Lytechinus pictus: one gene and its partner. Each later gene encodes a partner of the first gene's protein in a complex. Links are inferred from orthologs where the notes say so. Each region holds a gene or a part of one and is shown in the gene's direction. Other genes may lie near its edges. The genes, in order: glutamyl-tRNA(Gln) amidotransferase subunit B, mitochondrial-like; glutamyl-tRNA(Gln) amidotransferase subunit A, mitochondrial-like.

Region 1 (16,758 bases):
TCGTTCTCTGCTTAAATTTGAATATGATATGGTATTAATTGATGTAAATTAAGTGAAGATGTATAGGTGTTTAAAAAAAGAAAAACTATTTGAAGAGGCTGGTATTTAAAGGGAAATTCTATGCGGGAACAATCAAAGCAGAAGGCCTATTGTAGGCCCACATAAAAATTTAAAGCCTGCGGGCTTCGCGCTAGCGTGATCAGATTTCAGTAACTACCGGTATTTGAATTCATGTATGACCTTTTGGGAGATAACATTACGTACGTACGTAATAAATACTGCGTACGTACGTGATAATACTGCGTACGTACGTAATAATTATCACGTACGTACGTAATAATACTGCGTACGTACGTGATAATACTGCGTACGTACGTAATAATTATCACGTACGTACGTAATAATACTGCGTACGTACGTAATAATTATCACGTACGTACGTAATAATACTGCGTACGTACGTGATAATACTGCGTACGTACGTAATAATTATCACGTACGTACATAATAATACTGCGTACGTACGTAATAATACTGCGTACGTACGTAATAATTATCACGTACGTACGTATACTGCGTACGTACGTGATAATTTTTTTTTTTTTTGGATGTCAAAAATGTCCGGTTTGGGGCTTCGTACAATAGGTTACATTTATGGAAACTACGAATGTTAATGGAGGAATTAAAATCCCTCTCAAAATTTGTTAATGAAAATTAAAATAAAATATACATGTCATGTACATGTATCAAACAAAAAAATACACAAGAAATTAGAGTGCGTGTGACATAATCGGTTCTGTAATTTGCACATTGACCAAGATGAGCATATAATTGTTTTATAAAATTAGGCAAATTTCTCAATGTCAAAATAGTAATTTTTTGAATTTTGAATCAGTTTTTATGAAATTCTCTGCAATACTTTATTTTTCTTTAAATTCAAATTAATTTTTTGGTGGGGTGGACTTCTCCTTTACTCTTTGCTTGGAATAGGGAATGCACATTAATATTTATCCACGATCAAAATTGTCTAAACATATGCAAATCAGTAATTGGACACATGCTCACTTTCCTTTCATCCAGGCCACTCCCTCACATCCACCAGGTTTACAGTCTTATAGCAAAAATTATGAATTAATTATAATACCATCACACCATAGCTCCATGATCACACAACATTCATACAGTGCTTCACAACAAATATTTCACTTCTGTTCATATATGCAATAATTACTGTGGAAAACAAAAACAAGGCGTAACCACATTCAAATACCGTTTAAAACGACAAATATATTATACCTTTCGAAAAAAAAAATTGTGAACATACATGGCACTTAACCTTCAGCACATTAGATAACATATAACAGAGTTGCTTGAGAACAAAATATAATTATGGGGCATTGCAAGAAACTTATGTTCAATTGCAAATCAACTACATGTTTGTGTTTAATCAAAGGACTTACCCTTAATTTTGGAATGTGTGATTGAGTAGAAAGTTTCTTGCAATGCATTAAAAATTTTCTTTGGTTTTGAATTGTGAATTTTTATTTTTGTCAAGCTGTATTCCTGTCCAAGTCAGTATTCTTAGTCCTCCCCAAAACTGTGCTCTAATTTTTTTGTTTCCAATATCGATAAAGATCAATTTTCTGTTGTATCATTATCAGTCCAAAATTTGCAAACGAAAAAAGGGCTTTGTCCAAATCATGGTCTGACCATTATAGGACATGATGGAATCTCCCAGAATGAAGAAGCAAGCAGAGACCAGAGTCAGCAAGTATGCAGATCTGTGTGTAGAAGAGACAAAAAAGAGAGAAATAGTCTAAATTATTCAAAGTATGAATTATGTTACATGTAAGTCAATTAAGAGACTAACTAAGTACTGTCTGTGACAGCCACAATTTTTTTATTTGAACAAAATGGTTTATAAATACTACTGAGTACGGTAGTACCAGACTTTTTACTTTGACTTTAAACTGTTTATAGTCTCTAGAGTAGACTGTCTGAGCTAATCATCATTTAATTCTTAACCGCAGCCTGGGGCAAAAATCATCATGGGGCTCAACTTCGACTAGGAAAAAGGTTAACAATTTTCAACATAAATCAAGAAATATCTCAATCTATAAAAACTTGATGGAATTCGGAAACCTGATAATCATTTGAATAAAACTTTAGAAGGGATCTACTTATCAAGCTTCGTTTATATTATTATTAAGTCTTAATTAAAAAAAAAAAACAAGTCCACCGTCCACAGTCACAAATATAATGCGAGCCATCTGCCATCATTACAGAAGTTTCAACGTATGGGACCAAAGGCGAAATTCTACCAACCCGCGACGAACGTAATTTTGGCATTATTTCGCGCCATCGTGGAGTGAACGAGAAGGTTACTTCCGGGTAAAACGTAAATTTCTTGATTTTTAGGGTATCATTTTCTCTAAAATAAAAATATAAGGTGAGTTTGCGTCAAGTTGGTTCTGACATATTTTGAAAAGTGACTTTTCTTCTTTCTAAAAAATCCCGATTCAAACAATTTGGTTATGTAGCAAAGTCAGGAACCAAAAGTGAAATTCCGACTACAAAATCGCAGTTAAAATATTACTAAGATAAGCATCAATTAAAGAGGTAAAAATGGTAGGTTGAAAATGTCGAAATATGGAAAATTATATACCAAAATGTAGATGAAGGTCTTGAGAATAACTTACCACAATTCGTTTCGACGTAAACTGAAGTTAGCGACCAGTGCAGAGCTATAACTTCAGCCCCTCCAATTCAGTGGGAAAATCAAGCCAAATTGATCGCACGTTTTCCTTCGGAGACCGCTAGAGGGCCGCTGAATAAATCTCCGTGAATATGCTCATTATCGCGCGAGCTGCGGTCTGACTGTCTAATCACTCATTCATCAATCCATCCACCCATCCATCCACCCATCCATCCATTCATTCATCTTTTGATTGATTGATTGATTGGCTATTTGATTGGTTTACTGAGTGAATGATTCATTGATTAGTGGTTGATTGATTCATTGATCGATTGTGATTGATTATTTGATTCATTCATTCATTCATCAATCCATCCATCACCCGTCCACCCACCCACCAACCCATCCATCCATCCATTCATTAAGTTATTTTGACATTTTTGTGCTCAAGATCCTCTGACCCTTATTCTGAACTTCGAAGTCATGGTTTAACTATGGATAGCCAATTGTGAGACAAGGATCTGTTTGTCAGCACATTTGGTGCTCAATTCATTTTGAAGTATTTTATAGTAATTTCTTATATAATTTCCTTCATCATTATTAATGAAAGAACATGGTAACAAGAAATTTGTTGGCTTCCTATAATTTTGCCACAACTTCGAAGTCATGGTTTAACTATGGATAGCCAATTGTGAGACAAGGATCCGTTTGTCAGCACATTTGGTGCTCAATTCATTTTGAAGTATTTTATAGTAATTTCTTATATAATTTCCTTCATCATTATTAATGAAAGAACATGGTAACAAGAAATTTGTTGGCTTCCTATAATTTTGCCACAGAATTTTTTTTTTAACAACAAGTGCACACCTACTTAGCAAGAATGTGTGTAGCATTTTTCATTTATTTGAATGCGGGATAAAAACATTGTAGATCAATTGCCTTGTTTATGGGCGTAAGTGTTGCGGCCGAGGATAGAACCCTGGACTTTCTATGTGCAGTCAGGCGCCTTTGACCACTCGGCCACGGCACCTCCATTTTGCCACAGAATTAGACCATGACCTCAGACTAAGTTAAATGGGGATTTCAGAATATTGTCCTTTGGGTTTACATTTCATCCCAACATAAACATTCAGTCAGCATGGGTCCCATTTCATAAAACCTGTCATTAACACATTCAAATTTCTACAGCCAAATTTACTATCAGCCAATCACTTTTACCTATGAGGAGTTTTTGTATACAAAAATAACCCTAAAAGCATTGCTATTCAGTTCTTCTTAATTTCCTTCATAATTCTTGAATAGCGCCTTGAGCACTCTACAGAGTGGATTCGGCGCTATAAAAGTCCAATATATTATTATCATTGTTGTCACTGGCATACAATTGATAGTAACCAAAGTTCAAACACAGGAGCCAATCCTGGGGCATAGATCCACCTCTGAATCTTAATCCATTTGGGGAGGGTTTGTGATAAGGAGGGGGAGGGGGTTTGGGATTGCTGGTGAGAAATATTGTAATATGTTATTGTCTTAAAAATTAAAAAAAAATGTATATATTTTTGTTATGACAGGCGGAGGTGATACTGCGACGTGTGCAGCAAAGTATAACACTGAGCATCTCGTCAGCCATGTCAGTACTGGAGGCGGGGCTAGTCTAGAGCTCTTGGAAGGTATGTTGTATAGAAAGATATAGACTCAGGGGGGGGGGGGGTGGAAGCAAGTGAGATGCACCCCACCTATATCATGAAAATCACCCTTTGCCATCTGCTCCCTCTCTATCTTTACATATGCCAGAGGCATGAAATTCAAGTTTGTCTTTGAGAATTCATCTCGCTTTATTGTTTAAGTATTCTGTGCTCTGTTATTTACCAATTTGTAAGAATTTTCTTCATTCTTTTGCTTCATATCCCATACAGGCAAGAACCTACCAGGTATTGCTGCATTGTCCGACGTCTGACTACCTCCATCACCCTTTCCTACCAGTGCACTTTGACCCGATGCCATAGATCCTTATTGGTGGCAGCGGTGGGATTCATATCAAATATATTAGCTGGCCGATGCAATGCCAGGCAAGGTTGTATTTTGTGGCAGCCCTCAACGTTATCCTTTCCTCTTCCTGAAGTGTTTGTAATTGATACCTCTTCTATTAAACGCATTAATGTCCGGTCCGGTGTTTCATGAAATTACGAGCGACTTTATGCATTACATGTTTTGTTGACAATCATAGTTTGTATTCCACCAAAAGAAATATTCGGCAGAGCTGGGGACTACTGATAGTGACTGATTAAGTCTTTGTATCTGTCCGTGTCTGATGATTGCTTCAATAACTTAATGTGCACGCATGCAACCCAGAAGGTTTTCTGTGAAGTGATTAGCTAGTGTTTGAGTGTTGTCCTACACTTTGAAAAACTGTCAGTCAAACCAAATTCTTTGGTCAGTTAGATATTGCATTCTATTTATCCTTTCTTTCTAAAATAAAGTTAAATGGTAAAATTGTAGTATTTGTGAAAGGAAGGGGTTATAAAATGTAGGATTTCACAAATTTTAAATATATTGAGTGTAATGTCACCAGTATTTCAGATACTGCATTATGAACTACAAAGATTTTATTTTTTACAGCTTGTAATATAATTACATGGTTGAAAGTGATTGCAAAGCAGTCATACTTTGCTTATAGCACCTAAAAGCAATATGACAGATTCATCTTGATAATGTGATATATATTTTCGTGCAAAATTATTTTTACTTTTAATAATTCTCAAATTCTGTGTCATATGCTCAAAAAGATAAGGCTTGTCAGGGTATATTTCTAACAAGATTGTTAAACGAAATTGTTAATATATCGAAAATCAGTTTCTCCAAGCTAAAGTTTGATGGGCAAGCCTTCTAGATTGGAAGAAGTTGAAATATTATATGTTCTTCCTGAACTGATTAAATCATACTTTATCTTTGTTTTGTTAGTCATGCCATTGTTTTTTGAGGTGGTTAATACTTAGTATGCCATCAGTAAATACATACAATTATGTTAGCAAAGGATGTTTTATTATTATACAAGAAAATTTATTTTAGTGTCAGTTTTATGCATCAAGGATGTGTGATTTCATTGTTTGTGCAAAGCACAAATGTCACCATAATCAAGCCACCACAACATCATTTTGTAAAACTGCCTAAGTTCTTGGTTATCTTGGGAATTTGTTTAGTGGGATTATATTTGGTAATGTGCAGGTAGGCTGTGGAGATTTTCATAATGTTTAGTATATAAATGAATGTGAATCCTACAGAGCTGGGGCCCGTTTCATATAACTGGTTATAATACCAAATTTTTCAATAACAGTTTAAAGCAAATTAAATCATTCGATTTGATTGGCTGATTGTAAACTTGATATAGAAAATGTGCATTTGTTATTTTAACCACTCTTTATGAAACCAGACCCAGAAATGAGACTATGATGTGGTGTAGATGAGATATATCATAATAAATGTGAAATTATATAAAAATAATGTTTTTATTGATTTCTTCTCTGATAGCATTTCCCTTTAAAGAAGTTAGTAGTATTGTGAGTGATTTATTTAACTCTCCAACAGAAAAAAGAAAAGAAAATGAAATCTCATTGATAGAGAAGACCTACATTTGACATGTGAAATTTTTGGAAATTCCATAAAGTGTGTACATAATTATGATCCCTTATATGTGGGAACTTCCTGAAACAATTTGCCTCAGTTTTTCAGTGAATATATAATAATACCAACATGCTTATATAGCGCATATCACTGCCAAATGCGTCCTTATTAAATACTAAATTGGATATTAAATATGAAAAGTTGGGTGACGCAACATTTGCTTCTGCGACAATTGTTCTTTATTTTCATTTCGTCTAAGACGTAGTTTTGGGGTTAGGGTTGCAATAGGGTTTTATGTTAGGTTTAAGGTAGGGTATAGTGTTAAATCCAGGGTTGAAGTTAGTCATTTGATTAGTGTGTTGCATTTATAGAGCAAATGTCACTGTAACAAATGTCGTGGAACCAAAAGTTGTAATGCTTTCAAATAAATAAATACATGTAATAATAAATGATATAGGATTTATATAGCACATATAACCACCTTAAGTGCTCAAGGCGCTCCCATATTAACCTGGCTTAGCTAGTCTACCAATTCTGGTGCTCACAGCTTTTTGAGGAATTACCATCTGCCGGTACCCATTTGCGTTCCTCACCTGAGTTGAGTGCAGCACAATGTGGGTAAGTCATCATGGTTTCAGAAATTCATGAAGTCAAAGTTAAAATGCAGAAGAACTGTGTGTGTGGGGGCCGGGGGGGGGGGGGGTGGGGATTGGCAATACCAACATTTTGATCCTTTCATGGAATTTCCCTTCTGATAATATATCTGGCCTGCCAACTACTTTTTTTCCTGGAGTTACCCCACTTTTGAGATTTGTTATCAACCAGCAAAAGAGGAGCACTCCGTTTTTCATTTATTTAAGATAAAAAAAAAAATTGGCCCGTGTACATGTATTTGTGTGGCGGGGTATGGGTGTGAGAGTAATATAGTTTTTCAAAACGTGTAATTTCTCAATATTTAAATATAAGAATGCTAAACATGTCTTGATTAAAAAAAAAAGTGAGGGAGACACACCTGACATCGAGCAGAAAAATCTGCGCCGTGCGATTATACCTTTTTTTTTCATTTTCAAATGTTGGCAGGCCTGATAAATGGGGTTTTTCATAAAACTAGCTGTTTGTAAGTAACTAATGACACATGACTGGCAACGCATCAGGTCTTGTTTCATAAACACTTGTTACAATAACAAACGCACAACTCCCACATCAAATTTATCATCAGATTGAAGGATTTCAGTAGCTTTATTTAACCGTAATTGCAAATTTGTTACAAGTTATGAACTGGGCTCTTCATCCTGCACTAAAACTGAGAGATCCCAATTTACATGTTTTTTTAACGTAATGGGTATGAACTCCCTGTTGCCCTTAGATTATTGACAAATTTTGAAATATGCATTCAGATGCTGGTTGACAAGAGTTTTTGTCTAACGTTACAATAATCAGATTTCAACTTTTAGCTAACGGCCGGCCGGGGGCTGACGGAAATCTTGAGAATTTGATGTGGCACTTAAGAACCTGTTCTTAGTCATAAGCAAAGTCATGTATAACTAACAACCCTTAGTAATAGTCCGAATTGCTACACCCGCTTTTCTTTTCTATTTTTAAAGATAATACAAATTTTCATCATAAAATAAGTAAAATATTTTTTTTAACCAAATAGAATTACAAAATTAAATGCTCAATTCTCTTACTTTTCATCAGTTGGCTTCTGTGTTATCTTTATTTTGATAGTTTCGCTCTTTTTTTTTTGGGGGGGGGAGGGGATAAATAAAAAAAAAGCACAATGCTAAATACTTTAAAAAAGGGGGAATCTTTAATTGCTAAAAAGTAAACGCATAAATTATATTTGGGAACATTCTTCCCGTGCATTCCTCATGCGTGCGCGTACAAGCGCAAGAGGGCGCTCTGCACATTCGATGTTTTTAAAGATGGCAGCTTGCATGAGCACATCGTGGAGGTTTTCTGCCTTCCAAAAACCGGTTGTGATTTCCTTGAGAAGATCTTATAGTGGTTGGAGAGCAATAAAACGAAGAAATTATTCTGTAACTTCTGATTGGTTAGTATTAATCATTGTGAAGTCGTCTGACTTTGCGTGGAATTGCACCGAGACAATCTCGGCTCGGCCGGGTCGCGGCGCTGCAGTGCACGGCCGGCAAAATGAACACAACCGCGGGACGAACGAGGCCGGAGCTGTCGGCGTCGCTAACTCAAGAGCGCCGCTGCCGAATGAAGGCGGCGTGGGCGTGGCCTAAAGTAAAGGCTAAACCTAACCCAGGGGCAGGGAGCGCGGGCCGGCGCCCAGGAGCTCACCGACCGTGTATTTACCCATACTCACGGGACAAGTGCACCCATGGGTTCATATCGTCTCGCGTGCGAAAGAATATCAGTCATATTCACACGACACATCCAAAATATACTGGGCTTTTGCCCACATAAAATATCACGCATAATCTGGTAGGCCTATTACAAATACAAATGGTATTTCACATTCTGCTATGAGTATGAGTATGACACTTACCAAATCATTTAGATCCTTCCGTGACTTCTCCTTGAAGTTTCTTTTAAAAAATATGTAGGCCCTATATTTTCTTGATCTTTAGTGAAGATTTCACGGAGATAAAAATTGGTTGGCGTGGATATCAATTTTCTCCTAAAGAGGGCGCGCGATTTATATTAATATTCATATCAAAGACATGACAAGGGAAAGACTAGGCACCTACACTATTTTACACGCAAATCCACGCAAGGTATTACGCGAAGTCCGTGAAGTGTCCAATCTTTTCATTGTATAGACTTTGGTATACCGTATTATTGACGTTCGTTAAAGCTTGTTCAATTGTTGTACTGCTGGTTTCGTTCCAGGCATGTGTATTTTTCTCAATTTTATTTTATTAGTCATCGTTTTAAATTAATTGCAAAAAAGTGTTATCATCGCCAATAGTAATCTTGAATTATATTTTTGAACTGTATTTCATTTATTGGTGCCCATAATTAGTAAATTAATCATAAGAATTGCGCATTCAAAGAATTTAGACAGTTATACTTATAAAATTACAGAGGAGCTGAATCAAGGTTGTGAAATTTATTAGCGCCACCAACGGGCTTCCTTGTATTTCCGTAGAAGAGACAAACGAAGTCACTTGCTAGGCCGAGGTAAGCGAAATTTGCTCTTTTTATTATAATGAAATTATTTCAAAATCATATGTATAATTTGTTTATGTATTGCTACTTACCGGAAAGAGCCCCGGTGCTTAGCGAGAAGGAGTTTCGGCAGATATTACTTCAGCAATGAAGCGATGTTTGCCGACTACTTCGAAATCCAGGGTCAAACACGGTCCCTTGTACGAGGTTAGTACATATACTAACCTCGTATTAGTGTGAGTGGGACAAGGGTAGATTATGGTCAAAATATCTAGCAAGATAAATTGTGAAAACAGAAATTATGCACTTACCACGATTATATGGATGAAGGTCTATCGAGTGGTAGAATCCTGACATCGAGGCACAGACTGGAACCTCAAAAACAAAAAGTTCTCTCCTACCCCAGTCTCGATCGGCCATTTTTGTTATGAATCATAACAAAATGGCCGATCGAGACTGGGGTAGAAGGAGAGAACTTTTCGGTTTTTTGAGGTTCCAGTCTGTGCCTGGATGTCAGGATTCTACCACTCGATAGACCTTCATCCATATAATCGTGGTAAGTGCATAATTTCTGTTTTCACAATTTATCTTGCTACATGTAGATATTTTGACCATAATCTACCCTTGTCCTGTGAGTATTGGTAAATACACGGTGAGCTCCTGGGCGCCGGCCCGCTTCGCGGGCCGGCGCTCCCTGGGTTAGGCTAAACCCTGACATTTGTTAACAATGATTAACGTTAGTCAGGTCCTAATAAGCATGGCGTTTGGAAATTAAAATTCATTTGCGCTAATAGCCTTCAGCAGTTCAGGCTACAGACTGCAGTTGCACTGGCCGATTGCGAGTCTTACTTAGTAGGGTGTCTGGAGAATTTTTTTTTTTTTTCTTATTTCAAGAAAATATCAAATTTTCTTTGTGAATTTGAAGAATAATGACCTTCACGGCTTCAAACTGACAGAAATTGAACATTTTTTTTTTAATCCAATAATTGGCTGCAAAAAAGAATGAAGTTAGGTCAATTTTCAGCATTTCTCTGCCATAGACTGTGTAGTTAAGAAATGGACACACACAAATCCAAATTTTTAGCTTCCGAGAGCTGTTATAAATTTATTATTAATGCCAAAAACTTGTCCATGAAGAGTCAAATATGATTTTTCATGCGCTTTCTGATGGTATGATTTTTATAAAGACTTGGAAACCAGATCACAATGAAAAATTGCGACAAAGTGAAAAAAATTGTGCATAACAGAAATGTCATTTTCCCATAGAAAACGCATGGGGAAATGGCAATCTCAACACACACACAAATAAGGGTTTGCAATTTATCTCTAAATCCTTATTTCATATAATCCTATAAACTTGTCCTTAATGTCAAAAGAAGCCCCTGAATTTTCTCTTTCCATACATGCCAAACAAGTTAATCAATTCAGATCACATTTTTCTAGCAGCCTGAATTTCCCGAAAAAATGTGCCATATTTTTCCTAAAATCAGCCTGTTTTATGCTGACACTTTTCAGTGTGGCTTCAGACACCCTACTCTTAGGCCCGACTTAGGCGTTAGGACTTAGGGTCTTACTAGTAAGACTCTTAGCGCAAATTTCCCCACTGGTTAATATTACTTAGAACGATAATAATGATCGAGCTAGGACTAGGAGCCGAAATCCAGCCGTTCCCGATATTTGGAAAAGCGGTTGGGAATATTGTTTATTGACCTTGAAATGTGACTGAGAGACTTGCCATGATCAGATGACATTTGCGAACAATTTCTTGTGGGGAAATTTGCTCAAAGTCGGCCCGTACGAAACTGCATCTACGCCAAATTTCAAAGATGCCTGGTACTTGTTTGCATCCACTCAAGGTTTCATTATCATCCTGCCTGTGGGGAATCTACAGGTAGGACTGGTATGCCAATGGCAATGCTGTACGCAGCACACAATTTAAAAAATCATTAAAATATCACTTTTGTGACCAAAAATACTAATTTCCATAGTCCATACAGTTGCAATTTATTTTTCATTAGTAACTTTTTTCACCAGAGCGCTTGAAAACTTGAATTTTGGGCATATTTTCGTGTACGCCCTCTATATGGCAAGACAATTCTCATTTTTCAATCTCTATTTTTAATTAAGAAAAAATAATTTATAGAATCGAATTTACTTTAGAGCCAAGTTATATGATGAATAGCTGTAATGGAAACTGACAGTGCCAAAAATCAAGCATTTGTCCCAAAGAAAGAGAGAAAATAAGCCAAACATTGCCAACCTTATTTCACCACACAGGGAGTAGTAATAGAGAACAGGGTTATATCATAGAATGAGTGGTTTGCATCAAGCACACGTCGCCAAAATGACAAATGAAACTGCACTGTTCAGTGTTAAACTTAAGCTAGGAATGCGGACTCGGGGGGGGGGGGGGGACCATTTCTTCTCATTTTCCTCATCGGCCTCTTCCTTCTCATTTTTCCTTCTCCATGTCCTTTTCCTCTTGCTTTTCCTCTTGCTTTTCCTCTTTCTTCCCTTTCCTTCTCCCCTGTCTCCTCATTGTCCTCGGCCTCAGTCTCTTCCTTCTCATTTTTCCTCCTCCCTCTTTCTACTCTTCCTCCCTCTCTTCCTCTTTCCCCTCTTCCTCTTTGTTGTCTTCTCCTCAGTAGTAATATTTTTAAAGAATTTTCATGTTTTTGATAATTTTATTTCTATAGTTCATTTGAAGGATGGTCCAGCATGGTTGGCCTTGAGATTCATGCCCAGATACTCTCCAATACCAAACTATTTTCTGCTTCTAAGGCCCAATTCATGGCACCACCAAACTCGCTAGTCTCTTTTTTTGATGCCTCTCTGCCAGGTACTCTTCCGGTTAGTATAGTTGGGAGGCTTATTTACTAGCAATTGGTCTATTATTTGTCGGGTAGTATTAACTAACACTCCGGGGGGGGGGGGGGGGGGGGGGGCCACTTCCATTGACGAGTGGATACCATGCGCGACCATGGGGTCTTGAAAAGCACCCTAAACACGTATTTTCCATGTTCTGAAAATGCACCCCTTGACAAGTATTGGCTTGTGAAACCCCATCCCTTAACAAGTATTGGAAACAAAACTTTACTATTGGCAAGTATTTCCTGAATTGAACCCCTAAACAAGTACAGCGATATTTCAATTATGTCGCGGACGTCAGTCGTCGGTTTCACCTTTACCTACATCATTGGGTTTAGTACAGCCCCCACGTAGTGTTGACTCTTGGGGCAAAGAGTACATCCTTTATAAAACATATTAGTCTTAATTTTTCATACCCTCGCAAATTTTGCCCTAAACACGAAGCTTTCCCAGCGAAAATAGATACCCTTTTTTCATTATTTTAGTATTTTTGACACCCTTATGTTACGTACGTAACGTGCCCTATCTTGAAAAAGACATCATTTTTGTCTCACCTGCATAGCAGAGTGAGACTATAGGCGCCGCTTTTCCGACGGCGGCGACGGCGGCGTCAACACCAAATCTTAACCTGAGGTTAAGTTTTTGAAATGACAGCATAACTTAGAAAGTATATGGACCTAGTTCATGAAACTTGGCCATAAGGTTAATCAAGTATTACTGAACATCCTGCCTGAGTTTCATGTCACATGACCAAGGTCAAAGGTCATTTAGGGTCAATGAACTTAGACCATGTTGGGGGAATCAACATCAAAATCTTAACCTAAGGTTAAGTTTTTGAAATGTCATCATAACTTAGAAAATATATGGACCTAGTTCATGAAACTTATACATAAGGTTAATCAAGTATCACTGAACATCCTGCATGAGTTTCACGTCACATGACCAAGGTCAAAGGTCATTTATGGTCAATGAACTTTGGCCGAATTGGGGGTATCTGTTGAATTACCATCATAACTTTGAAAGTTTATGGATCTGATTCATGAAACTTACACATAATAGTAATCAAGTATTACTGAACATCCTGTGCAAGTTTCAGGTCACATGATCAAGGTCAAAGGTCATTTAGGGTCAATGAACTTTGGCCAAATTGGGGTATTTGTTGAATTACAGCCATAAATTTGAAAGTGTGTTGGTCTAGTTCATAAAACTTGGACATAATAGTAATCAAGTATCACTGAACATCCTGTGCGAGTTTCAGGTCACATGATCAAGGTCAAAGGTCATGTAAGGTCAAAGAACTTTGGCCACGTTGGGGGTATTTGTTGAATTGCCATCATATCTCTATAAGTGTATTGGTCTAGTTCATAAAACTTGGACATAATAGTAATCAAGTATCACTGAACATCCTGTGCGAGTTTCAGGTCACATGATCAAGGTCAAAGGTCATGTAAGGTCAAAGAACTTTGGCCACGTTGGGGGTATTTGTTGAATTGCCATCATATCTCTATAAGTGTATTGGTCTAGTTCATAAAACGTGGAAATAAGAGTAACCAAGTATCACTGAACATCTTGTGCGAGTTATAGTAGTTTTCAAAATCAGCACTGCTGCTATATTGAATCGCGTGATGCAGGTGAGACGGCCAGAGGCATTCCACTTGTTACATGTTTTTTTTGGTCGCGCATGGTATCCACTTGACAATGTAAGTGCCCCCCCCCCCCCCCGGGCTAACACTACATCAGCTACACCCATTGGCCCTAATTCACAAAGGTAATTTTGAAAACCATAGGTTTGAACCCATAGTTTATGCAGATTTCCTGTATGAAATATGCTTCAGTTATATTTTAAAAAATGTACAATACTGATGCGCGTGTTAGTCACAGTGCTCCAAATGGACACCAGTTGCCATGGTTGAGCATGCTATTTTAATTCATGAGTCCACTCTTCAAAACAGTGGACTCGTGAATAAAAGCGTGTTAACCATGGCAACAGGCGTACATTTGGCGCACTGTGACAAAAGCGTGCATCAGCATTGGTCGTTGTTTATTATATGTGGTAAATGGGTGTCATTTATACAGGAAATTTGTATAAACCTTTTAAAACCACCTTTGTGAATTCGGGCAATGTGGTCTCTACTACCCGACTAGTCTATTCTCCAGGAATAACAACAAATCAAAATAAAGATAATGGAAGGATCAAACTTTCATTCTCTTTTGATATATTCAGTTGCCATTCATTCTTTCCACTCTGAAGTCCTTTCATTCTCTTAAGTAATCTTCATTCCTTTTCTATTAAGTAATGATTTCCCAAGAAAGCTGGCTGTATGTTTATTAATCAGGACAACTTTCTTATATTTTTCTATCAGTTGTTACATTTTTACCTCTCTCCCTTGGAAATTTCAACCTTGAATATTTTTTGTTATAGAAACATACATGTGTAAGATGGTTATTTTGTCATTTTCTTATCTTGTTTATTTTCTTTAACTTGTGTTTTCTCCAGCTGTTTTACATATCTGTTCAGTCTAGACTTGAGTTCATTTGCATTTCTTTTCAGCACTGCCCTTGCAGTCTGAGCTGAGGTTTTTTGAGTTTAATGATATTCAGTTATCATTCATTCATTTTACTCTGAATACCTTTCCTCTTTTCCTCCTTTGTCATCTTCATTCCTTCTCTATTCAGGTGTTTCATTCTTTCCATCCTCACCTCTCTCCTTAGTTTCTATTTCCATTATTACATAATCACCCAGACATTTTTATTATTTTCACCTCCTTATTCCTCATTGGTTTACCTTATGAATTGGGTTCTTACATATAGTTGGATCCTTCCATTCTCTTTAGTTTGATTGGGTGATATTCCTGATTTAAATATATATGTAAATTGTTCAGTGGCCATGAGTTGAGCTGGGGCAAAGTATTCCAGCAATTAAATTAGTGCACAACCAGACTTCTTCGGCTTCAGTTAACTTTATTTGCATCTCCTATAGTTTCACTTCTTTTTCCCCTTTTATAATGTTGACATCCTTACACATATATGTGATCATGATTTACCATGTTGGATCGCTGTCATTGCAGGTCTTGAATAGACGATGTGTGGAAGCGGGTGTGCTGACAGCACTAGCCCTCTCTTGCTCTCTCAACATGCGTTCAGTCTTTGATCGTAAACACTACTTCTACGCTGATTTACCGGTAAATCCCATCAGACTGTACTTTTTTTCAATTAGTTATAGTAGCATAATTAAGAAATCACAGTTTAATTAATGTATTTTTATATTTTTTAAATATCAGTCAATTTGATTGTAGCAGTTGATTATTTTTTCTTAATGTGTGTCTTTGTTATCCAATCCTAAAAAAAATTGGACAAATCCAATTCCTTGGCTCCATATTTTATTGCATCCCTTCCCATACTCTCCCCATCCTCTTCTCCCTCCCCACCTTCCTTTTCATTTCCTCTTTTATTACTTTTTTCTCTTTTCCTCCCCACTTACTTTCCCTTTTCCTCCTTTTTCCTCTTTCCTCTCTCTTCCGTTTGCTCCATATTTCACTTTTCTTGCTCCTATCATTCCTCAAGTGCTCTTCTCATTTTTTCCCATTCCCTCCCCCTCCCTTTCTTACTCTTCTTCTCCCATTCGATCTCCAATTACTTTCCCCTCCCTCTTCCCCACCCACCCCATTTCCTCCCTTTCTCTCTCTCTCCCATTCCCATTTTCCCCCTTCACCCCCCCCCCTTCATTCCGGTCTCCCTCCCCCTTGTCCTGTCTTCACCCCCTCACTTCTCTTCTTCCTCTCCCTTGCACCTTCCCACCCCTTCCGTCCTCCCCTCCCTCTCCAACCCTTGCATCGTCAACCTTCCCCTGTTTGCATAATTTCTCATGAATATTTCATGGAACCCCCCCAACATCCTGCAGGCAGGTTACCAGATAACCCAGCAGAGACTTCCCCTAGCAGTCGATGGGCGTGTGGAGTTCACCCTCTTTGACGAGAGACGGAAAAACCCGCCATCTCATCGGTCGGTCCGCATCAAACAGATCCAGTTGGAACAAGACAGTGGAAAGAGTTTGCATGATGAGGATAATGCAGAGACGTTAGTGGATTTGAATAGGGCAGGTGGGAATCTTTTTTTTTGTTATTCACTGTTCATCGAATCATGTTTTTATTTTCCTCTTTCCTTCTCTTTTTCCCATCTTCCATGTCCTCATAATAATAAACTCCATCAACACCAACCAAGACTTGAATCACAAAATACTCTTCCATTAGCTAAACGACGGGAAGACAATGTATTGACCCTTGCTCGTATTGGACATTCTCACTTAACACATGCATATTTATTTGCAGGAGAAAATCCACCTCAATGCATATCATGTAATTGTACACTTACAGTTAAACACATCCTCATTGAATGTGCTGATTTTGCACATATTCGTACTAACTTTTATGATGTTCCTG
Region 2 (16,269 bases), on another chromosome or scaffold:
GGATTCCTTCCAAACTATACATTCATCCATTCCATCCCTAAATCCCATTGTCCATCCATCAACTCATCCATTCATCTCTCTGTTCACCATTCTATCTATTCATGCAATCTTTAATCTATCCAGTCATCAATTCATTCATCCATCCATGATCTAACCATTCATTCATTCTTTCATCTATCCTTTTATTCATCCATCAACCCATCTATTCATTCATTAATCCATCCATTCATCCTTCCATCTATTAGTTCTTCTATCTATTTGTCCATCCATCCATTCATCCACACATCCACCTATGCCTTCATCTATACATTCATCTATTCATTTATCCTTTCATCCTCTCATTCATAAATTCATCCACAAATTCATGCTGTCAGTCATTCATCCATCCATCAGTAAAAGACATGGCCTTACAACTTTTAAACAAAATACTCCATTTATTCAAGACATAAGAAGATCAGGAAAGGTCCCTCACCTTCTGTAGCTCTGTAATAGGAGTCTCAAGGTCCTTTGGTCTCAGGATAGATGTGTTGATATCCACAGGCCTTGGAAGACCTCTCTGGAGTGGCTGAGATCTACTCCTTAATTCCTTCTCTCCTGCAATATTCATAATAAGGAATCATATTTAAAGAGACATGTCTGGTCACTATATCCATGATCGTATTTAAATATCAAAACATGCAAAGCTTTCTAATTCTAACAGACAGACTAGTGCAGACCTGCCAACCTCTGGGAATAAAAAACTGTAGTCTGTGATAAAAAAAACTGTATTTTCCAAAAAAAAGTGTATTTCATAACAAAATACTTGGCGCACTCGCTCATCGCGGCGCTCAAGCTGCATGCAAGCTAAAATGCGCACTGCTCTTGCAGATGGAAAAAAAAAATATTAAAACATGTGTATATCTTCACCCTGGTTTTAACAAAATGATTGAAAAAAAAAACAAGTTACCTGAAATTACATTGATCTAATAACCATATTTGTGACGTTTTATGAAATAGAGACATATAGAGATTATTTTTTTTTTTTTTACAAAAATCATATTTTTCAAAGAAAAAACATACTGCCGTATTTTGGTTGCAAAAACGTACTAAATACGGCTAAAACGTATTGGTTTGCAGGTCTGCTAGTGGCAAACACCCACCATATCACAGAGTATCAATCAAATTACAGTCATTTTTGTTTTGGTCCCAGCTCTTCCATTTTGTGCAATTTCCAATAGTCGACCTCGAAAAGATAAACTTAATAAGTGATCATGGTTTTGACATCCTTCAACCTTGTTATCATAATATTTTAATGTCATTTATTATGGTGAAATGAATTCAGTATCAGAGAGTTGGATTAAAACTTATTTTAAAGCCGTGTGATAGATTCCAGTCATAACATATCAGTACTCTAATCATTAAAGGGTGAATCTAAAAGGAGTGCATTTGAGTAATTCACTTAAACCTTCTGAGGAAATGAAAAAAGTTTACTTGAGCAGACAACCTTAATCACTTGCTTTTTTGCTAAAAAAGAAAATATGTCATTCAAAAGCCAAATCATGGTGCTAAAGATTTCACAGCAAAGACACCAAAGAAGGACTCACTCTCTTCTGCCAGCTTTGCAAGTCGTCTATTCTCCACATCCGATGCATCCTCAATGAGGTTTGAATTATCCTGAGGCTCTTCTAACAGCTTCTCATCATTCTCTGGTATCACAATCTCAAAATCATTCCTTGGAGCTGGCAGTGATGATAGGCCTCTTCGAAGGCTGGCCTTCAATTCCCTCTGAAATAAACAAAATAATTCATGCAATGTCGTGTCATTCACAATCTCAAAATCATTCCTTGGAGCTGGCAGTGATGGTAGGCCTCTTCGAAGGCTGACCTTCAATTCCCTCTGAAATAAACAAAATAATTAATGCAATGTCGTGTCATTCACAATCTCAAAATCATTCCTTGGAGCTGGCAGTGATGATAGGCCTCTTCGAAGGCTGGCCTTCAATTTCCTCCGAAATAAACAAAATAATTAATGCAATGTCGTGTCATTCACAATCTCAAAATCATTCCTTGGAGCTGGCAGTGATGATAGGCCTCTTCGAAGGCTGGCCTTCAATTCCCTCTGAAATAAACAAAATAATTAATGCAATGTCGTGTCATTCACAATCTCAAAATCATTCCTTGGAGCTGGCAGTGATGATAGGCCTCTTCGAAGGCTGGCCTTCAATTCCCTCTGAAATAAACAAAATAATTAATGCAATGTCGTGTCATTCACAATCTCAAAATCATTCCTTGGAGCTGGAAGTAATGATAGGCCTCTTCGAAGTTTGGCCTTCATTTCCCTCCGAAATAAAAACAAAGCAATTTGAAGGGAAGGTATCATTGGCATTTTAAGGGAAATTCACTACAAGTATGATACACTATGAGAGGACTGGGCTCCATCTTTTACAATAGTTTATACTTTAGCCTGTTTATCCAGGTGCTCTTCATCAAAATAGACTAGAATTTAACTTTATAAGAGAGGAAAAAGTTAAGTAATGTTATGTACACTGCATATTCTTCTCCTTGCCTCATATGGTCATTATCTCCCCATCCCTGGCCCGAACTTTACCATTTTGAATGAGATCAAACTGACATAAGACAAAGTGGGTGTAGACCAAATGGCAATGTAACATACAATCTAGTGTTAATAACATACCTGTTGTTGTTTGGCACTGTGTACATTATCAAATTCCATAAGAGCTTCTTCGGGATTGATGTTGAGTTTGTCACGTAGCGGAGTCTGACCTGGGGTTTGGCCTCCACCAGTGCCCATCCGTGGGGTCATCCGAGGGGTCAAACCTGATAAGTTAAGATAAATATAAGATAAGATAAATTAATAACAATAATAATAATAATAATAACGCAGTTCACCTGGGTAGTGTAGCACAATGTGGATAGCCATCTTGCCGAAGGAAATGAAGCGATGGCTGGCATTGGAACCCACGACCCTCTGTTTATAAGTCAGAAGACTAATCCACTGGGCCACAATGCTCCAAAAATGTCATGTCCTGCTTTTTTCTCTCAAATGCACTTATGAGAGAGAATCAGAGAGAAATAATAGATCAAATCGTTAGAAAGGGATATATAGACTTGCAGTCTTGGCCTATTAGGGAAATTAATTGATGTTTTATTTGATTAGCTTTTTTCTTCAAATGGGCAACACTATATTTCTTTCATTGCTGCATTTTTTTCTATTCAAGTTCATGAATTAATTATAAATAGAGAAAGTTAATAAACAATGTCCTTATGAATCAAGTGATTAATTCTCCTTTTACAAAAAAATGGCATTGAAGGAAAGATGCAGATGCATTAAAATAGGCATAAAATATGCAGAGCTTATTTACTCTTTCTCTCATAGGACTTTTAAGGCTCTATATCAAAAGAAATTGGACAAACAATGAACTCTGAACTCTAAATATATCTCCATGCGTAACTGTCTCTACAAATTTGAATGTGAAAATGTGAAATTGAACATACTTGCTTGTGACTCATGACCTGGTGTTCTGAATGGTGTATTGAACGCCATGTTAGGTGTCTGTGTAGCTTGTCTCTTGGGCGTGATACCATCAAAATCACTGCTTCCTACTGCTGTGTTCAAACCTCCTTTCAATGGCGTTTCAACGTTCTGCAGTGCAAGGATGTTCTGTGCCTCCTGAACACAGATAAAAGAGTAGAAAGATAAACAATTGGAGGTGCATCTCTGGATCTATTATACAATATCAGGTATCCAGTGTATGGGAAAAAATTGACAAGTATATTTACTTGAGTACAACCTTTGACTTTTGAATTCTGTCATTCCCATAGGCTTTGTACATCGACTAACCAGTTCCAGAAGGTAATGGATTAATCCTTAATCTTCACTACCAGATTCCTATTACCCTCCTCATAATTATATGGCACTTTGTCAGCCAGTATAGAATAACAATAATATGCAACATTTACATAGGGCTTAATGCAAGTCCTCTTACTATTACCCCAGCTATAGCACAGCTATCCGATAAGGTGCTCATGCAAACAAGGAATTCCTTCAAGACATTTCTCCAAGAATTTCAAGGAATTCCTTCCTACCTTACACAGATTCATGAAATTCATCAAATGCAAATAGAGAAGATTTTACTCATCAAGATTTAACACACAGATAGCCACTGATCCTCGACAATCGGGGGGGGGGGGCAAGAAAGGAAGAATGTCAAGGTGATGATTACCTGAAGTACTGTATCATGTGTTGCAGGAGTACGGGGAGTTCTGAGATTGGCTGGTCCTGGTGTCATAGTGTAGTCTGAAAGAAGAGCATCCGATGCACCATTGACAGCTCCCTCCTCAGCGATCTGACGGGCATTCTCACTAGCCTGACCAAGCTTCACAACCTATATGGACAAAAGATTTGGTGTTACTCCATTGAATAAAAGAAGTCTTTGATACTCGTACAAACCAAACGAATAAAAAACACATTGGACATTTACCTATTTCAATTCAATTCAATTATGGTTTATTTTGTATAAAAACAATACATGTTACACAGCCAAAAGGCTGAAATTAGCATGTTTACAATAAAATATTCACAAGTCATACATGGGTAAAAGCAACAATAACAATTTAAATAGGTACATGTTAGGATTTGTGATGTACATAGATAATGAATAATTTTGAAGGAGCAAGTGAACATAAAAATTAATTAAATATAATGAAATAGAATGGAAAAAAAAACTATGTAAATACAATATTCAACAGTGATGAATATTAGACAATTAAAATTCAAATACTAATTGGATTGAAATGGAAACTAAAACAACTGGATGCTTTCAAACCTTGGCCATAAAAGGCCTGGGCCCCGTTGCACAAAAGTTACTATTATGGTAACTTTGCCATCTAATGGTAACTACCATGGTAACACTGATCAACAGCCAATTAGAATCAAGGATTCCACGCAAATTACCATTGCATGGCAAAGTTATCATAATGTTTACTTTTATGCCACAGGGCCCTGAAGTTCAAATAAATGATAAATTTCGTGCCTTGACCCTATGATCCCTGCTTGTTTTCATAAACTTGCGTTACTAAACATTGGATAAGGCTTCAAAGAGAAAAAACTTAAAAAAGTGAAGGCCAAATCTACAAATTCAAATCCTAATTAATACTCTTGAATAAGATGGAAAATTCTCAAGGGTATAATTCTTTCAAAACCTTTCTATGCTGCTAAATATACTAAAAATAGGCCCAAGTTTACACAGAGTAGATATATATATAATATCATTTATTCATCTTGAACTTACCTCTTCTAACTCAGCATCAGATATTTGTGGAGTAGGCAAGACAAGTTTGCTACGCTTCTTCATTGGCTCAGCCATCCTATGAAAACAAATGAAACAGTGCATAACATAGCATGAAAATAAGTCAGACCATGGAATATCTAATAGCAGTGAAAAGCTTATTCACTATAGGTCATTCTGAAAAGAAAAAAAATAACATATTAGAAAATGCAATTTGCTTGTCTCAAACAGGATGAGCAAAGAAAGATTTTGCATTTAATACTATTAAAGATTTTTTTTCAATGTTACCATGCTAATAACTTCAGTGTTGGATTATTTCATACTTTGCCATTTTGATGAAATATCTTGGTAAACAAGCTTTGTATCATTACACTTGTACACGAATTTAAATGACAGTTCTACACTTACTTGTTTGTCATAGCGATAGCTCCAGGCAAATCATTCTCTTTCCTCTTCTTCAACTTCTGTCTATCCTTCTTTCGTTCTCTCTGTCAGAGAAATTGAAAAAGAATTGTTTATGAAAATATAGATGTAACCTATAAGGTCATATGGTTCATCTAAGACATTAACATGAAGTGCTCAACAAGACAAAAAAATGTCATCTGAAATAGTTTATTCATTCATATTGTCATTACATGGCTGCTTTACCCATCCATTTGGTAACACAACTAGCTATATACTGTACATGTAATACCAATTAAAGTCAGTTTAGAAATGAATGAATTTTTTATTCCCAATGAAATTATAAGCCTGGGAATTTCCAGGCAAAACTGGCATTTTTGTTTAGCATAAGTATAGCGTTAAACAATTATTATACAACAAATGTCAATTTTGGAATGTTATTCAGTTCTTCCTCCCATTTTAAATCTCAATCTTCTGCAACTTGTTTTTATCTTGTTTTGTTATTAAAAAAAGAAGGCTCTCTTATCTTGTCATGTACACGTACTGTCTTATTCTATCAAGTTTCTACCTTCTGACTGATTCCGTTCTATTGTTCTCCATTCTTTTCCATTTTTGTGTCAAACAGTTCTTTCCGATAATTTGACTTCATAATTTACACTTTTAACAATGGTTTACAAATATATTGAAAAGGAACATTTTCTATCATCCAATCAACCCATCAATGATCAATTTATTTAATAATCTAATCAATTAATTAATTCAAATAATCAGTCAATAAATCAATTCATCAATCAATTTATTAAAAACATGAAATGTACCTCTTCAATTTCATCTCTACGAGCAGAGTCCATATCCTCTCTCCTAAGCCGCTTGAAGTTTGGATCCACAGGTGCGACCATTTCATCAGCTGTGTTGTAAAACCCTGGCGCTGGCTTCTTCTCAAACGGAATCTCAGCATTGTAATCAACGCCTCGCTTCTTGCGCCTCTTCTTGTTGACCTCGATACCTGCTGCCCGGAGTTCCCTACGCTTCTGAAGAGCTGCAAGACGTCGCGCTTCCTCAAGCTGCTTTTCACGAGCCTTCCGTTTGGCCTTCTTACCCTGCGTGTTGGCGAGACGAGCACGGGCTTCTGATAACATCTCAAGTTCTATATTGAGGACGTAAACAAACAAAACAGTTGTAAGAAATGAGATCAAATTTACATTCAAGTTTTTATTTGATACATCTGTTACTATATCCACATAGAGATGTACATTACAAACCCTAACAAACTTTAAACAGGCAATAGTGCACGCAATACTCCATTTGATTTATCACTATCCACATTTTACAAGTTATTTAGACCTGAGATGAATCAACAAAACAAGTTACAATGTTCCTAATATAATGATAACATGTAGTTTACCAAAGCAGGCAAGATCTTCACCATTTGATATCTTGTTTTTTTTTTTATGTTATTAGCTAAATTTGCATATATCAATGTGGATAGTACGAGTTATTTCTATCTCAGATTAACATTTATCTCATCTCATTTAATGATAAGTTCAATTTTCCTCATCTCCTTAGGCTTGTCTAGTATCATATTTGTATAAGGTCTATTTTGAACCAGGTGAGGTTAATGATCATCTGTCAGGAATTTATTCCTAGAAATGTTTGTGTGCTATAAAAGTATGCAGGCTAAAACCAGAGTAATAATATCAAGTCTTTTGAAAGCACATGAGTTGTTACATGATAATGTGAAATGCCCTATTAATGTACAAGAATGGAATATCATTATTTTAGTTTGTTTCAGGAGATGATTTTTAATCGTTTCATTCCTTACCATCTTCATCCATATCAATAGGATCAGGTCTAGCTGGTTTAGTCTCTGGATTAGGATCAATCTCTCCTGGTTTCAGCTTCCTTGGATCATCCATCGTATCCCCATCACCTTCCTTCTTCTGCGCTTGATCACTGGTCATCAAAATGATACCAACATCTCAAATGTAAAACTGTTCAAGAACTTAGTTCTAAAAGAAACTAGTTACTCAAGGTTAAAAACATCTTTCTAAAATACTATATTTCATACATGTATCTATCTAAAAAGGTAATATTAGGAAGTAAATTTCCCATGTGTGCTCTCAAACTTGAAGTCAAGACTTTCATCTGTATTCATGAGACTTTTGATTTTACAGATGTGTATCGTACAGGATTATTTTATCTTGGACGAACCTTTAAAGTAGCCATTCATAAGACATGACAGGGCAGTGACAATAAATTGCCTTGCTCAGAGGCACATGTGCTGTGGTCAGGTTTTGAACCCTGTACCTTCATGTGTAATAGGGTTCCTTTGACCACTTGAACATGACAACTCCACAAAGGCTGTTGCTTTATTAAAACAAAGGTACGAGCCTAAATCATAGTTTGATATCAATACTCATTCATTTTCCATCAAAAGTTAATGTTATATCTATTACAACCAAGCAAGCAAACAGTATGGCCTCTGTGTCTCAATTTCAATGCGAAATACATGCTGTATGATTGGTTTGTTACGCATGTGTTCCTCAAATCTCTGAATACATAACTGTTATGTATTCAGAGACACTTAAACATGTATAAGTGATGATATAGATACCAAAGCCAATACATCAATAGGTTTGCAATAGATAATGATACATTCATAAATGAGTTACGACAAATTGAATCTCATTGCTTGGCAGAGCAATTGTGAACAAAACTGCACAATACAGAAGTAATCAGAGCACAAGAATTACAATTTGATAACCATTTCAAACTCCAAAGGCCTATAAATTAGATTTAAAATCTCACTGAAGAGTGAGATCGTAACTTACAGTAAGATTTCATATCTTTCCAGACACTGTGCTGCAGTACGTCCCACAATGGGTGCAATGGTCCTCCATTGGGTAGGCATGAGCTTAGCCAGGTGTAGGAGCTTCTCATCTTCCTCTCGACTCCATTCTGTTTTCTTGATACTCGGATCCAGCCATTCAAACCTAAGATGAAGAACAAGAGAAAAGCTGAATTCTAATTTCAACGCACAAGCAAATGAAATATCTACACATTTGATAAGGAATTAGGAATACCTTCCATATGGACAGTTTTAAGAAAACACTACATCCCCATGATAAATTGATGTAACTTACCATCTTGCTTTGCATTGTTTAGCTGATTTCCTGTGTAACAGTGAAGCAATTCTAGACCACTGGTTTTTGCCATATTTCATCACAGCTGCCTTGAGGATTTCATCCTAATGCACAAAAGAAATAGGATAATAGGTTATTGAAAAATAAAACCCTTCAAAGTTCAATTATGAAATCATACTAATAAATATTTCTAATTTATATCGAAATACATCTTAATCCATGTGGATATACATTGATTACCTGCACTTAAATGTACTTAAAATCCATGAATAAATTCTCACCAGAAGAGTAAGTCAAGCCTCACAAGCAGCAGACATGTGGACTGAGGAGGACTGAGGTCATTTAATCTTTAAAACAGGGTTGTATTATAACATTAAAGTTTTTTTGTTTTAAAACGCCTTAAATCCTTTTGTTTAAAACATTTTTACCCCAATAAACAAATTAAATTTTATGATGAATTAGGGGTAAAACTGACCTATTTGTAGCTAGACAAAATATTCTAAAAGTTACACGGATTCTTTTCCGTAATCTCCGTAAAAAAAATAAAGAGTGTCCCATAAGATCTCCCGTCTCGACGTGATGTCTTCTATACTTGGTGCATTAAAAAAAAATATGTTCATATAATGTATTTCAATTTGATGGCCCTTGTTTTTAAATTCTCTGTTGGCCATTTTTTATGAAGGCCAAGGGCCTGGCCCTGGCCCAGTAACGTCCTGGCATCGGGACGGTCTCCACTTCGAATCAAAATGACTGAGTGATAGTGACTGATGACTGAAATAAATTAATTTAACTTAAATTAATGAGGCATGCCATTAATGATGGGTGTTAAACTTGCCACAATAAAAGTTAAAACCATTTCTTTTTCCTTAATTCTGAATTTCTGATCCTTCAACACCTTCAATTTTGAATTTTCTTTCTCACACTACCCTAAAATGCACAATACACACTCAAAAAGCACGTCATACACTGCAAAACATGCAAGTTTTTTTTGCAAAGATCGCCGATTTAACTGAAATTTCTGATGGATTTTAACTCAAACTAACATATTTTTAAGGGAGAATAAGACTAAAACATAAATATTTACTTCAGTGTTCCTCCAAACACCTCCTTTAATCTGGATTCGTGGCATTTTCACAGTCTTTCTTGTCAAAATTCAGGTTTGAGAAGTGAAAAGGGAGAATATCACGCAACGAGTTGTAGTTTATTCTCCTAGCTATGCGCTAGGCGCTAACCGGAAAAGAAAGAGAGAATGCACGTACTTTTGCGCCGCGCATTTTAAAGATAATTGATAAAACGACTGGACAAAAATCTACGTTTTCTCTCGCGACAGTTGAGTGCGCTGCGACTTTTCCAATAACAGTTAGATTTACGAAAAATGTTCGGTTTATCTATTCGTGAGGTAAATATAATTTATGTTTCTGTTATATCTTTTGTTCGGCTCTTTGTTCATGTAAAAGTAGTATGTATTTCTCTGAAGTAAATGTTTAAATTGACTTTTTTTTTTTTAATTTACAGGGAATTATTTTGTTCACCTCAGTCCCACAAACTCAAAAAATTGTGAGAGCTTATGTTATTGCAATATTGATTACTCTTCACTCGTGAATTTGTTGACTTTGGCAAGTTTGGGCCTGGGACTGCAGCATGTGATCGAGGGGAAAGGGTGGGGGCGGCATATCATAGATCAGTATGCAAATCTATCAGTCACTATAGTCTATGGCCTAGATCTATATCACCATACATACATGTGGTTAAGACTTAATTAAGTTGATGTGTGTTCGGTTAATTCCATAATTTCTAACTAAAAATTAGAATAAGATCTACATAAATGCCAAACAATTTGGGATCTAAATTATTTCCTTACCTGTTTAAAAACTATTTTCTGGGTATACTATAAGTTAGTTGAGCTTGAGCCTTGAGGGGCTAATAATCGCCTGATGGGTGATCACTTGATTTATTTGATAATTTTGTTCTTGACATAATCCACTCAAAGTCAAAGTTGCGGAACATAGATATACTATAGCCTTAAGACTTAACTTTATTAATATTATTTTCCAGATGTAAATATACATGTAGATTGAAGCATGAAAAGTTTATTTTTCAAATCAAAGTTTCATTTTTTTAAATTTCCATCATTGCAGATTGCTCTTCGCTTACGTGATGGTCGGCTTTCGGTCACTGAGCTCTGTTCCAGATGTGCAGAGAGGGCAAGGCGCTGTAAAGAGCTGAATGCTATTGTAACAGAGTGCTTTGATCAAGGACTGGAAGATGCAAAGAAAGTCCAAGACAAAATAAATAAAGGTAGTTTCACTTTTACTGTTACAGTGTTAGTCTTAAATTTTCCAATGGCTAAGATTGAATTTTTTTTATATGAATCTAGTTTATTTGTGTTATTCATTTAAACTATCATAATCTCTATCTTTTCAGATTTGACTATGTTTACATCTTCAGAAGATGAAAATATTTTTGGTGGAAAAATTTATGTTACAATCTAGGTAGATTTTGTCAATCTTTTTTTTATATTTTCTTTCACACAACTTTTAATTCATAAGAGACTGCTGATTATGTGAAGGTTTTTTTTTTTATTCCAAATACAAATTTCAATTATGGAAAGCAGATTTCTCATTTTCTTAATGGTCAATAAATTTTTCATTCTTCCATTCAGTGTTCAATTGTTTAGATTTTTTAAAGTTAAAATTCATGGTAAATTATAGTAAATATTCCAATCTTGCTTAGAGCACTATGCACAATATGATTCATGTTCCAAGCAAAGATTCCATCGTTGTGTTTGTCAGTGTTTAGATAACAAATGATGCCATGAAATTTCAGGTTTTCAACATTTTTTGTTGATAAGCATCTGTGTCTCTCTTTTCAATTTGGTTTATAGAAATTTGATTGAATCTGAATTGGCCAGACATTCTGTGTAGTCAATTTTTCAATATTTCATTTTATTTTTCATCTTCATAAGATATCAAATTAGTCAAATCAGAAAAACAATGAGATACTGTAATGAGAATAACACAGAATCAGATGATAGATAAAGGTCAACAAATAACATGTGGAAAATATTAATTTTCAAAGCATGATGTGTTATCTCTCCTGAAGTTCTTGGATGATTCAGATTCATGCAAGATTAAAATATTTAAATTTTTTGTGTGTATTAGTGTTACTCAGTTTTAAACTTTCATAATATCTTGGTTCAGATTTAACTATGTTTACATCTTCTGAAGATGAAAAATTAACTATAACTTATTGAGGTGAATGTTTTTTCAATGCTTTTTTTCATACAACATGTAATTGACTAAACAGGAGTTTACTTGAAAGGGAATTTTATTCCAAATACAAATTGCTAACATAGAAAGCAAATTGCTCATTTTTTTAAAGAAGATAAAGTCCTAATACTGTAATCTTTCATTTTATCCAGTTTTTGTTTACTGTGTTTCCATATGAAGTTGGCTATTATTAAAAACAAGTTGGATTCATATTTGATCATGGTAAATATTTTATTATGCATATTGCTTACAATTTAGTTTACATTATGTTTCCTGAAGGAAATATTATATTGTGCATTTTCAATAACATACCATGTTTTGAAAATTCATATTTTGAATGTCACATATATTGAAACACATTTCTATTAATTGAATATGTTCATCCAAATTGTAGAAGTAAAGTATTAGAGTATCATAAACTCTACGTTGTTAGATTCACCTATGTTTACATCTGATGAAGATAGGGAAAATGATGAAGGTGTAGAATTGTGCAAGCTTTATTTTTTTCTTTTACCAAACTTTTTATTATAAAGATTTTCATGAAGTAATTAAAGGTTATTTACGGTCTTATCCAGAACTTTTTTTATGTTACAGCTTTGAGTATTTTTGCCCTATTTTTTCCCCAGATTTCAGCTGTAACCCACTATTATTTTAATCCACACTATTCTCCCTTTTCCAAATCCCTTCACCCTCCATATATTTTCTTCTTAATTTACCCTAAAAGGCTTAAATTTCATTAAATGCATTATTCTTACATAGATGTTCAGGTTAGCGAGTTTATGCCTGGTAATCAGATTTGACAAGTAAAGGTTGCTATATGATTCTTCTTGGATTTAATAAGTATATTGATACTAAACTGGACAGCAAAAGAAAGTACCCACCCCTGTCAAAGGCCGCACACAAAAATTTACGACATAAATATAAACAATTTTTGTACACAGGTGTGCTACAATACCCATTACTAATCACATGTACATAAGCAATTGAATATCTTCATAACAAAGAAGAACTTGGCATGCATAGCATCTTTGTCTCTGAATCAAAAGTCCCACACAAAAGCACTTTCCACCAAGCAAAAATGGCCACTGAATGGACAACATCTTTTAACAACCAATATGTCAAAGTGAATGGACGGCTCATTCTGTTACATTTTGTGACTTTTGATTCAGTGACCAAGATGCTGTACATGTCATTTTATTTCTTTGTAATAAAGATAATCACTTCCTGTTGGGTATGTGATTACTAATGGATATTGCAGCATACCTGTGTACAAAATTGTTTATTTCTATGGGGTGAATTTTTGTGTGCAGCCTTTGATAGAAGTGGGTACTTTCTTTTGCTGGCCAGTTTATATTCTAGAATTTCAATTATGTTTCAAAGAGTGACACTAAATGAATCAATGATCCAATTTGTCATTTATCAGGTGCATCTGTAGGTTGTTTAGGTGGGATACCTATAACTATCAAGGACAACTACAGCACAACAGGGCTTAGAACAACTTGTGGCTCAAAAATGTTAGAGAGTAAGTAAACTTTGTGTAGTTGTGTCTTCTGATAGTATGGTTTGCATTACTTTTCAGCACTTTTTAGATGTACGATAAGTTTGCATAGGAAGAGGATTACCGGTATTCATTTTCTTACCCTTGACTATACATGTATGTGAAAAGCATGTAATGAGAGCTTCTTATTGGATGTACAGCTAAGAAGCTTTTACACCATAGAAATTCTGGGAATTCAGCTTTTGGCATTTCTGGCCAGGTTAGCTACTAGTTTAGAGGACAGTGTTTTAGATCATAGCTAATTAAATCATACATAATAAATGATAATAATAATATACATTTATATAACGCTTAATACAAATGTTTCTAAGCACTCCATACTGACACTGAGGCCTTCAAGGAATTCCTTCCTACTGAGTTCCCATTTACTACACCTGGGTGGAGAGTGGCAAATGTAGATAAAAGCCTTGGCAAAGGCTGCGAGTGCTGTGGTGGGAATTGAACCCTGGACCTTGTGGTTCAAAATCTAGAGATTTATCCACTGAGCTATAACACTTCTACATTTATTTCATTCTCATTCCCCTCTGGATGATGGACATCACCTTTTACTGGTCAACAACCAAATGGTGTCAAATACCTATCAAAGCCGAGTACAATTTTCAATGATTCATTGATTCTTTATTTTTCTTTATAGATTATAAGCCACCATACACAGCTACGGTGGTAGAAAGACTTCAGGATCATGGTGCTATCCTTCTGGGAAAAACTAACCTTGATGAGTTTGCCATGGGGTAAGCTGTTTTATAACATGATAATAGAATCATTACTGTCCTAAATTAATGTATTGGAGTACAGTATCGTTATTTCAGCAGACAAGACTATACAGAACAAATAAATTAATGAATTGATTGATTCCAGGGCTACTTTTTTTTTACTCAACAACCATTTTTTTACATTGTGTCATAATTTACATTGGATCCTATGGGAGTGTTAGGGGCTCTCTTAAATTTTTCAGGGTATTATGATATATTTCAGGGGTGAATTGGCCCCAAGCCCCCATTTTATTTATTGCTGATGGATTTGCATGAGCATACAAGCTGTAAAGAAAGTGCTTACACTGCACTCCTGATCTGTTCCTACATTTTGAACAAGTCAGTCAGCTAGCTTCCCATCTGGTTTCGCTGCTGATTCATTAATACCATTCTGTGTTTAACAGATGAGACCTGATCCAATTCAAAATTATTTTTTATGGTTACTTTGGAAAGGACTTCTATAATTTATTATTTGATTTGATATCTATAAATGTGTGCAATTTACGTTAAATTACTCTATTCCTGGTAGAGCTAATGATGTAAGAAGAATATTCCCTTTGTACTTTGTTAGGAAGCATTTCACAAATTAAGCCTCTAATTACTTTTAGAGCACCTCATTGATGTCAAAGATGATAATGGTGAGCTAGATGATTTAAAGTGCTCCAGCTTATAATATTTAAATATTTTAGAATGGAAATTTTTTATTACACATTCTGAAATTCTATTGAAAATACCTAAAGTCCTTTCATCGTTTCATCTTGTGATATTTGTCTGAAGGAGTGGTACAACAGACAGTTTGTTTGGACCTACACGTAATGTATGGAGGTACCCCTTTCATCGGGTCAGGAAACGTCAAGCCCAGAATACTGGAGGGAGTTATAGTTCTGAAGATGATATCATTGATTCTGATTGGTTCGTTAGTGGAGGCAGCTCAGGAGGAAGTGGTGTCGCAGTAGCCAGTGGGTCGTGCCTGGCGTAAGTCAGTTATTTCTCCTATCTTAGTGTTAGCCCTTTTTCCAAGTAGATTCATAACACTTTCCTGGTTAGCTTGTTTACAGTATTTTGTCATGCACATCTTATTTTACACAATGTGTCTTTGTCTATGTTTTTTTTAATTCTTTAACAATGATTTTAACACCATAAAATTACGTGTTATCAAATCAGTATGTATTATTTTAGAAGATTCATTTAATCATGTGTGCATTCCCTACTGACTGCATCCTTGAATACTGTATTTTTTATAAATTTCTTTACTATAATTTTACATACTTATTGCCCATTATGCCTCCTGGCATGTATGAAAGATCTCCACTCCTGACAGTTCTATACCTTCTTCTGGACACTCCTTCAGGTCATGTTCATTGACTTTATCTTCTCAACATTTATAATTATTTTAACCAATATTCTATTTCTTCCCCCTTAGAGCTTGATTGAGATACAGAAGGATCTATTTATCTTCAGGCATCGTTCTGTTGTGAAGTTGGTCTTTGATAAGACATTGATCATTTCTTGATGACTACTCCATTTTGTATGTTTATTTGTGTTCCCCACAGAGCTCTGGGCTCGGATACAGGTGGCTCAGTCCGTCTTCCAGCATCATTTTGTGGCGTCGTCGGTTTGAAACCTTCTTATGGTCTTTGTTCAAGGCATGGCCTGATATCTCTAGTCAACTCTTTAGATGTTCCTGGTATCTTCACCAAGACTGTAGATGATACAGCAACTGTATTAGGTATTATGAGATCAGTCGCCTTAAAGGGATGGTCCGGGCTGAAAATATTTATATCTTAATACATAGAGTAGAATTCACTGAGCAAAATGCCGAAAATTTCATCAAAATCGGATAACAAATAATAAAGTT

What was found.
Region 2: glutamyl-tRNA(Gln) amidotransferase subunit B, mitochondrial-like (region 1) and glutamyl-tRNA(Gln) amidotransferase subunit A, mitochondrial-like share a complex: the UniProt entries of both Homo sapiens proteins name them as parts of the heterotrimeric GatCAB amidotransferase (AdT) complex. The link is inferred for Lytechinus pictus from reciprocal best matches to the Homo sapiens genes GATB and QRSL1.

What each region holds. Positions count from the first base shown.
Region 1 is NC_087249.1:39,941,029-39,957,786, reverse strand, and holds the start of glutamyl-tRNA(Gln) amidotransferase subunit B, mitochondrial-like, read left to right. Parts: upstream 1-8,211; 5' UTR 8,212-8,226; coding exon 8,227-8,366; intron 8,367-9,367; exon of another isoform or gene 9,368-9,463; intron 9,464-12,147; coding exon 12,148-12,301; intron 12,302-15,387; coding exon 15,388-15,501; intron 15,502-16,220; coding exon 16,221-16,419; intron 16,420-16,758. UniProt on the Homo sapiens protein: Allows the formation of correctly charged Gln-tRNA(Gln) through the transamidation of misacylated Glu-tRNA(Gln) in the mitochondria. The reaction takes place in the presence of glutamine and ATP through an activated gamma-phospho-Glu-tRNA(Gln).
Region 2 is NC_087248.1:5,491,616-5,507,884, reverse strand, and holds the start of glutamyl-tRNA(Gln) amidotransferase subunit A, mitochondrial-like, read left to right. Parts: upstream 1-9,773; 5' UTR 9,774-9,916; coding exon of another isoform or gene 9,917-9,961; 5' UTR 9,962-10,207; coding exon 10,208-10,231; intron 10,232-10,970; coding exon 10,971-11,130; intron 11,131-13,524; coding exon 13,525-13,623; intron 13,624-14,293; coding exon 14,294-14,390; intron 14,391-15,188; coding exon 15,189-15,386; intron 15,387-15,964; coding exon 15,965-16,140; intron 16,141-16,269. Other genes in the region: cell division cycle 5-like protein, read right to left, coding at 473-594, 1,584-1,764, 2,674-2,816, 3,495-3,669, 4,223-4,384, 5,291-5,366, 5,696-5,775, 6,508-6,836 and 4 more. UniProt on the Homo sapiens protein: Allows the formation of correctly charged Gln-tRNA(Gln) through the transamidation of misacylated Glu-tRNA(Gln) in the mitochondria. The reaction takes place in the presence of glutamine and ATP through an activated gamma-phospho-Glu-tRNA(Gln).